Caenorhabditis elegans: one gene and its partner. Each later gene encodes a partner of the first gene's protein in a complex. Each region holds a gene or a part of one and is shown in the gene's direction. Other genes may lie near its edges.

Region 1 (5,187 bases):
CTGTCGATTAATCATTGCTGAATAAACTTTGTTTGGGTTGTCTTGTACGGACACACTTTCAGGCGGTAGATCATATCCTCAAAGAAAGCGTGAATTGTAGATGCCAGGTTTTTGATGAACAAATAAAAATTTATGAATTCCTTCGGATGGGGTCTTTGATGAACATAAATTAAAAGGGAGAAGCATGCTGAAATGAAAGTTACCATTTTTACAAAATTGCTTCAAAATTAGAACTGGATGTATTATTTAAACAAGCTTCCGGTGTTTGAAGAATTATTCATATTATTTAAATTTTAAATTAACTAGTTCAGGTTTTTTAATCCTTTTATATAATTGTCAGAAACTGTCAGGTTGCCCCACGTTCCAAATTTGACTCAAGGAAGGTAAAAAGACACTTGAATCTGGTACTAGAGTCGTTTTTGTGCCTATGTGAAAGACTATTCTTGGAGCTCTTCTTTCAAACATTTCGTGCATTTCTGCCAGAATTGTTCTGAATTCTGAAATCATTATGTACAAACATCTTTATCAAAATATTATCTTCATGTGATACGAAGCATGTCAAACTTATCTCCTGTAAAACGTTATCCAACTGTAGTCCAAACCATTTACCTACAATACAGTAACCAATTTCTTCAGACTAAACGCTTTCTAATGGTTTGCTCATTGATCGTCTCTCATTTGAATTGATATCCTGTTCAATTCAGATTCAAAATCTCATTAATCTCATGTCCGGATGATGTGGCAGATAAGCGAGGAAATGTTTCAATTGCGCAAGGACAAATCAACGATAAACTCATGTGTGAGTGTGCGAATTGAACGAAGAAATTGGTTTGGCAATCGTAGAAATTCACACTAACTGTCTATTAATTACCTGTCAAAAGTGTCTGGTTTCTCTCACGTTTTGTGTACTTTCTCGTAGATAAACCGTTTAGAGATTTGAAACATTCATTCACACTCCTAAAACTAACCAATGGACATTAAAAAATAAAGTTGCGATTTGGGAAAAAGGGATTTGCTTTTGGAAACTACAAAAATATTGCTCCGTGACATGATCCAAAAATATATAAATTGGAATGCTCCACGTAGTTTTTAAATATTAATGATAAACCTTATTTTTAATTTCAGCATTAATTTCAGAGATTGGCAAAAGGTGAGAGGCATTATTAAAAATAGCCTTCAAATGTTATTAGGTTTTCACAAAAGTAAACCATGTTGTTTCTAGATTTCGAAATTCATAAGATCTCGTTTGTTTCAAATCTACTATTCACGAAAACATAACGTATGTTGCAGACCATTCCCAGAAGGAAAAAACTATGAAAAAGAAAATATGTTTTTCTTTCGATTGTTTCCGAAATAAAATCCATTTTCAATCTAAGTTCCTGTTATAAATCATGTAGACATTGACGTTGAAATAGCAAAATGCTTGCACATCGTTTTCTTATCATTTCTCTTCTCGAAGCATTCTAACTATAAATTTATTTGTTTTTCAGTGTCAATGTCGTTATATTAAAAAAAAAATCATGGGACATTTTGTAAAAACTTTTTCAAAATAATAAATGTTCTCATCGAATCTATACTATAGTTATCAACTGTTCTCAATCGGTAGAGTGCTCGGGCTCCCGATCGATTTCACAAAAATGGTTTGGTCCGCAAACACGACGACGGACATTGCGTATTTGTCGTCATTTTCCCTCTTCACGTGCTGTGTTCAGTTCAATTCGGGTTTTTATTTGCCGTCAGACCACTTTTTTTCGTGACTCATACTAAAAAATGCAGAAATAGAGCAATTTATCCTGCTATACAGATTTTTTATATTTTCTAGTTGAAATCCTCGACTATTGAATTAATTTGTTGACTTCGTACTGTACTTGTCGCATTTCTTTTTATAAGAAAAATTAATAAAATATATTAATTTAGTTTCAAAATGGCGGAATTGGTTCGTCCAAAAAAGCCAAAACATCGAGAGCGAGCACAAAGTGATTATACACCCCCAATACCAGATCGTCCTGCAATTGTGAATGGTTTGAGACTCCCTGCGGTAATAACAATACCACTAAACTTTTTGTTTCATATTGATTTTATTTTCAGGCTCCATCACATACTATTGAGGATTTACCAGAAAGATCAGCATCACCGGAACCTGAAGATCAGTAAGTGGTAAAATAACGATTGAACTGAAAAATATGTATACGTTTCCAGGGATATAAGCTTGACCGAAGATTCCTTGAAACGCGAAGAAGCATCTGAACCTTTAAAAGATGTGAGAAGTAGTCCAGTTCGACCAGCCCCTCCACCACCAGTCAGTTGAAATTCTAAAACTCAAAATATGAATCATTTGTTTTCAGCGTGTTTCTCAAGAAAGAGAAGCTCCACCAATTCCTCCAAGAAGTATGATCTTTCCACGAAGTACCAGCATGGTTGCTGAATCTAGAAAAGAATCAACTACAGCGGTAGCACCAAAACGGAGTGTAGCAGTTGCTTCATATCCAGCTGTCCCCGAACTAGCCGAACTTCCATCCTATACTGATGCGCTTCAACATCCGCAAGTGTATCCTTCAATAAATGGAGGACTTCAGCATTCACACTCAGCTACTGCCATTCCAGTAAGTATTTAATCTGAAACCTTATTATTTTTCTTTATTTTTGTAGGAAAAAACACGATTTTCTGCACCAGTTGAGAGAGAGCGTGTACGAGAGGGAGAAGCTCCTCCGATGTATCCATCTATCAAAACTTACGAACGGAATGAACATGGTTTAATGACTGAAGAAAACTTGGTCACATTCTACCATAATCCCCTTTATGAGCACGCCGAAATGTTTGTTGATCAGTTTATTAAAACTGAGGAAGTACCAACTCAATCTGGATCTTTATTTCCACTCTTAGCTAGACTAAGAACAGTATGTGACCTAATGACTGTTAGTGAAGTGAAAGGAAAAGAGAATACAGAAGAATTGCAAAAATGTTTACGAGAATGTTGGGTTCAACAATCTCTTTCTGTTGATGCAAAAGGAAAATGTGGAGACAACAATGATGGTACAGGTAGAGCATCGTATTTTTCTTTTGAACTGCAACAGGCAGTACTGGATCAAATGAAGAAACTTCTCTCTACGAATCGAAGCAATCTGATGGATCATTCAGTTTGTGAAGAGACTTCGTTTAGATCAATTGCTCTACAAATTCAATGGCAGGTTATTATTATCAATAATAATTTCATGGCTGAAAACGGGTTGTCTACAAATTGTCCACCCAGTTGTGAGTTTATTATTTCAACAGCTTACTAGTTGAATATGAATGTATTTCAGTAATTGCCAGTGTACCTATGACACCGGGTAGAGTTGCTCTTCGCACTGCTCTTTCAGACATATTCTATCATCTTCGGTATCCAAGACTTTCAAAAAGATTTATAGATACACTTGTTGGATGGATCAAAGAATTGGTAAATCATTTCAAGTTCGTAATGTAACGTTTATGTAAAAAAATGTTTCAGACATGTGTGTTGAATATGCGTCAATCATGCGACGACGGTATATTCCTCCTTTGCCACCTTTTACGTCTTCCATCTCCAATTGATCAATGGGCTTCTCCATTTGTACAAACCTTCATTCAATCACAATCTGCTCCAAAGTTGAAGCTTGATTATTGTGTTGCACTTCTCACTCATCTCCTCAACCCAATCAAAGCTCGAGAATCTTTCCTTCGCCATGTTGCTCAATCTGAAAAAGAGGAGTCAACTTGGGAGATTCTTGCAGATGACGATGACGGTGAAGCAAATGAGTTTTCATTTGTCACAATCAACGAATCAGATCTAACTGCATTCCTTGATCAATTTCCGATTTCTGAGCTTTATTCAATTGCTTATCTTGCTTTCACTTCATGTAAGTTTCAAGTTGCAATTGTAAACTTAGACCGTTCAAATTTTCAAATTTTCAGACTCTGACAAAGGATCTCAATTTACTGCTATGATTGCATTCCAGCTCTTGCTCATGAAAGTAAGTATAGTAATATCTAAATTTATGATAGAAACATTGAATTTTTAAGATTCTTGATAATGGTTTGACAAGTTATTCTCAACCCGGATATAAAATGTTCTGTAAGCAAATTGGAATAAGTCTCAAGTGAGTTTGTTATCCTTTGGCTCCTAGATAATGTGTTTTCTTTCAGGCACAGCGTTCGGGAACTTTGCTCCAATTGGCGACTTATTCGAGATCAAGTTCGACCAGGCGAAGAGCATCATCTTCAGAAAGAAGTAGATCGAGTTGTACTTCTAGCTCTAAATTACTTGATTCATCAAGACACCCTTGGATTGTTCCAATTTGTGGTGTCGTTACCATATGCTGTGGTTTCCGAAGAATGTAGAAGCCGATGTGAATATGCTTTAAGATCGAATAAGAAAATGTCTATTCACGAGATTTATGATACACCAATTTGTGAAGTACGCGCCAGGATTAGTAGTCGTCAGTTTCTTTAGAGTAAACCAAAATAATAAACATATTAATTTCAGAAGGAATTTCAAAACGAATAGGTGCGCTTGGAGCTCAGGATTCAGAATTTCTTGTCAACTCATTGGCCTCAATTGGATCTTATTCAAATTCGGATGTTTCGCAACTTTTGAAAGAGCTTATTGATGTGAGATTGAACATTTTTAACTAAAAACTTTACATTTTTGCAGGTTTGCTTTTGTGATGAAGACACTCGAGATGATTTGTATAAATGTGGTGGTGAAGCAATTGGACAAATTCTTATAAAAAGACCTGAAACATTGCATCAATTGCTCACTATTATTGATCGAAATCTTCAGCATATGGATTCCTATGCAATCAATGTTTTATCATCATCACGACTTTTCGAATGTCGATTAACGGAACCAATGATAAGCATCATAGGAAAATGGCTCATTAATAATCCTCCAGAACACGGAGCAAATCGTCTTGCTCGGCGAGTTCTTTCTGGATTGCATTGGGGATTGGCTGTTGATGGTCATAACTTGTGGATTGATGTAGATGTGCACACAATTGCAGCAGATACTGTGGTCAAGGCTCATTCTGTTCATTGTTCACGTTCGAATAGTATGATATCAAAGTCTATAAATAAGATATCAAAACTCGCTTCAAAAGTTGGAGACGCCGAATCGTTGTTCCAGCAGTTTTGTTGGGACCTGCTCGTAAAGCTCAAACTTCCAACGATAC
Region 2 (3,154 bases), 260 kb from region 1:
TCGTTGTTTACGGTTCAAAGAAAAAAGCGTTTTTCATATTTTTATTGTTTCTCCATGTTAGCTATCATTTTTTATTTATTTATATTTATAGCTTTATTCTGATTATTGTACTTCTGTCCGTGTAAAACATTTCGTCACTATTGACTGTCTATAAATTTTTAACCTTTGGTTTATTGTTTGGTTATTTTTTTAATATTTTTTCTCGGTTTGCTTCCGGCAAATTTTTATCTTGTTCCTTTTTATATTTTTGCCTTTCTGATCGATTACATGGAGTGCACCCTAATGTCTTTAAGATCTTTTAATTGATTTGTTTTATATTGTCAGTTCTAGCGTTTTACCAGCTGGTCTTGAATGCCCTCTTCTAGTTCATTACATTCTACGTCACGGTGACAGCTGTGAATGTGGATGATGCTCTCATTGCTCCAACTCTTTATTTTAGAATTATGTCGCTAATGCACTTTCCACCTACATATTATTGTATGGATATAGTAGTTATATATCGTTTATTTCGTTTAGTTTTAGCATATTATGTTCCTTTAATAGCAAAACATACTCAATACCAACTGTTGTCTAGTTGTTATTCTAACCTTTTATCACTTTTGATCATTTCTAACGTTTAAAATTTCCTATCAAAAGAATCTAAGAACAAACAATCTGTCGATCGGCACCTGAAACCCCGATGATTCTACACCATGCTGCTCTACTTCTCTCAAACCATCCAATGTTTCCCTATACTCTCTTGCTCTCCTCTGCCTGCTGTCTCGTTTCGCCGCCGTATGACACAGTCACATGATGTTGAGTCGTGGTGTCTCGTCGTCTCCGCCCCTCTCTCATCTCTCTCTCTTTCTAGCTAGTGCCATTCGTCTTGGTGTGTTCAGTCTTGCCTCTCGCTCTTCTTTGCGACTTTCTGCCATTTCTTTCACTTTCTGGCGACGTCGGTAGCGACAGTACTTTTTTATTTAAAAGTTTGTAATTTTAGTTGGTTTGTTTAAAAAACCGGTTTCAAATCAAAATCTTTTTTAGATTTGAAATTTGAAATTAAGAAATGTTTCACAAGTTTGACTATTAAATGTACGGTTTAACAATTCTATCTAAAAATATTGCTAAATCATACCAAAATTATTTATTGAACGGTCATATTAATCTAGTTAATAGTTGATTACTAAAGTCTTTCAGAATTCAATTTTTTGGAACAATGCGCTAAGAATATTCGTAGAAACTGGTTATGGATACTAGTGAATATTGGATAAATGTTACTAATATATCGATCGACTTTCAGTCTTCCCAGAATTACAGTTTCCCCGACAACCTCTAAACAGCTGCATTGTACTTGTCCTGTTTCTCTGCATCTCAACAAAACCAGGCCAGACAAACATAGAAAATCAATAGGATGTCTCCTGCGTCTACGCGCTCTCATATGACCGATGTGCGCGCACACTCCCTCTCTCACTTGCACACGGGCCATTCTTGCTCATGCTCTTTTTGCCTTACTAGTACTCGTCGTCAATTTTATATAGATTTCGCAATGTGTTATCGAATCGGTCAATCTCTCAAAACCCATGTGATGTCACCTTCATTCACTCTCACTTGTTACACCTTTCTTCTCTCATGGTTCTTTTATGATTTTTCTGTGATTTAAAGTATTTTTATTCCAGTAACCTTCTCTTCACACTAACCTTCGAATCAAAATGAAGTGGGCTTACAAGGAGGAGAACAACTTTGAGAAGCGTCGTGCCGAAGGAGACAAGATCCGCAGAAAGTACCCAGACCGTATTCCAGTGATTGTTGAGAAAGCACCAAAGTCAAAGCTCCATGACTTGGATAAGAAGAAGTACTTGGTCCCATCCGATCTTACTGTTGGACAGTTCTACTTCCTCATCAGAAAACGCATCCAACTTCGTCCAGAAGATGCTCTGTTCTTCTTTGTCAACAATGTCATTCCACAAACCATGACCACAATGGGACAACTCTACCAGGTAACTAACCAGTCGTTTATTTTCATTTAATTAACCCTTTTCTTTATTACAGGACCATCACGAGGAAGACTTGTTCCTTTACATCGCCTACAGTGACGAAAGTGTGTATGGAGGAGAGGTCGAAAAGAAGGAATAAAGTGTCATGTATTATCCGCCGACGAATGTGTATACTTGTACAATGGAAATTTCATACTTCTAATGGAAACCCAAAGCCCCTTTAAAAAAATCTTCTCATTTTCTGTAATAATTCTGTATTTCCTTCACATTTTCTTCTCATTTTTCTCGTATGACGGTTCCGAGTAGTGACTTCTATTCAAACTATTGTCTACGAAGTTGCTCTTCTCCCCTCCCAGAAAATCATGTTTTCTCTCGGATTTTGATATTTTTTTGCTATTACTTTCAAATTTTTGATTCATGAATAAACGAAGAAGACACAAACAAATTCATGTTCATGCTCATCGTTATTTTCGGCCAGCGAATGGAATACCTCCAACAGTTAGCAATACACATTGCGAAATCACTTTTTCATCTGTATAGAATTGACGTCACATTTGTATTACGTAAACATCATTGTAGATTTCTGAACAAAGTATAGAGAAAAATGAGAATTTTATTTCGAAAATGGTGACACACTTTTGGCAAAAAGGCTCTTTGTATCCATTAGTCATCTGTCAAATGACAGTTTATTCTAGTTGTCATCGTCTGAAAATGTCATAAGAGGGCTCAAACGTTGACTTAGGAATCATTTTTGATTCGATTCTGGCATATTTTATCATTTTCGAGACACAATTTTGGTACTACCCATTTGCAGAAGTTTGAGATTTTCAATGCGAAAATACGGTAGCCGGTCTCGGCACGATGGAAACTTTTCAGCTACCGCACCCAAAAGTGTTTCGCAATTTTCACCTGTATCTGTTGTAATAGTTTCACTTAAAATTCCACATTTTTAAAGGAAAAACCGATACATTTTTGGAAAATTGTAGGAGATCATGAAAAATTAAAAACAAATACTTGCGGATACGGTATTTAAATAGTTTTGGCCGTTTCGAGACCGAGTACTGTAGGCTAACTCTAAAAAAATCTGCAAAATTTTCAAGATGTATAATTAAATACATATTTTTGAGATTAAAAAAAGAGTCTCGTTTCTCTACATCTTACTATTGTAAATCTACGAGTCG

The links.
Region 2: the proteins of epg-5 (region 1) and lgg-1 are in contact, whole or in part, in a crystal structure (PDB 8TGF), measured with the Caenorhabditis elegans proteins. Residues at the interface, in NP_001356411.1 of Caenorhabditis elegans: Ser505 (codon at 3,729), Thr506 (codon at 3,732), Trp507 (codon at 3,735), Glu508 (codon at 3,738), Ile509 (codon at 3,741), Leu510 (codon at 3,744), Ala511 (codon at 3,747), Asp512 (codon at 3,750), Asp513 (codon at 3,753); in NP_495277.1 of Caenorhabditis elegans: Tyr5 (codon at 1,701), Glu17 (codon at 1,737), Ile21 (codon at 1,749), Tyr25 (codon at 1,761), Asp27 (codon at 1,767), Arg28 (codon at 1,770), Pro30 (codon at 1,776), Val31 (codon at 1,779), Ile32 (codon at 1,782), Lys46 (codon at 1,824), Lys48 (codon at 1,830), Tyr49 (codon at 1,833), Leu50 (codon at 1,836), Val51 (codon at 1,839), Pro52 (codon at 1,842), Phe60 (codon at 1,866), Leu63 (codon at 1,875), Arg67 (codon at 1,887), Phe104 (codon at 2,050).

Annotation. Positions count from the first base shown.
Region 1 is NC_003280.10:6,606,094-6,611,280, reverse strand, and holds the start of epg-5 (Ectopic P granules protein 5), read left to right. Parts: upstream 1-1,915; 5' UTR 1,916-1,924; coding exon 1,925-2,038; intron 2,039-2,088; coding exon 2,089-2,150; intron 2,151-2,199; coding exon 2,200-2,299; intron 2,300-2,345; coding exon 2,346-2,603; intron 2,604-2,649; coding exon 2,650-3,253; intron 3,254-3,303; coding exon 3,304-3,437; intron 3,438-3,488; coding exon 3,489-3,876; intron 3,877-3,931; coding exon 3,932-3,990; intron 3,991-4,039; coding exon 4,040-4,116; intron 4,117-4,162; coding exon 4,163-4,455; intron 4,456-4,502; coding exon 4,503-4,627; intron 4,628-4,670; coding exon 4,671-5,187.
Region 2 is NC_003280.10:6,346,221-6,349,374, reverse strand, and holds lgg-1 (Protein lgg-1), read left to right. Parts: upstream 1-1,655; 5' UTR 1,656-1,688; coding exon 1,689-1,976; intron 1,977-2,028; coding exon 2,029-2,112; 3' UTR 2,113-2,415; downstream 2,416-3,154. UniProt on the Caenorhabditis elegans protein: Ubiquitin-like modifier involved in the formation of autophagosomal vacuoles (autophagosomes). When lipidated mediates tethering between adjacent membranes and stimulates membrane fusion during autophagy. Recruits lipidated-lgg-2 to maturing autophagosomes.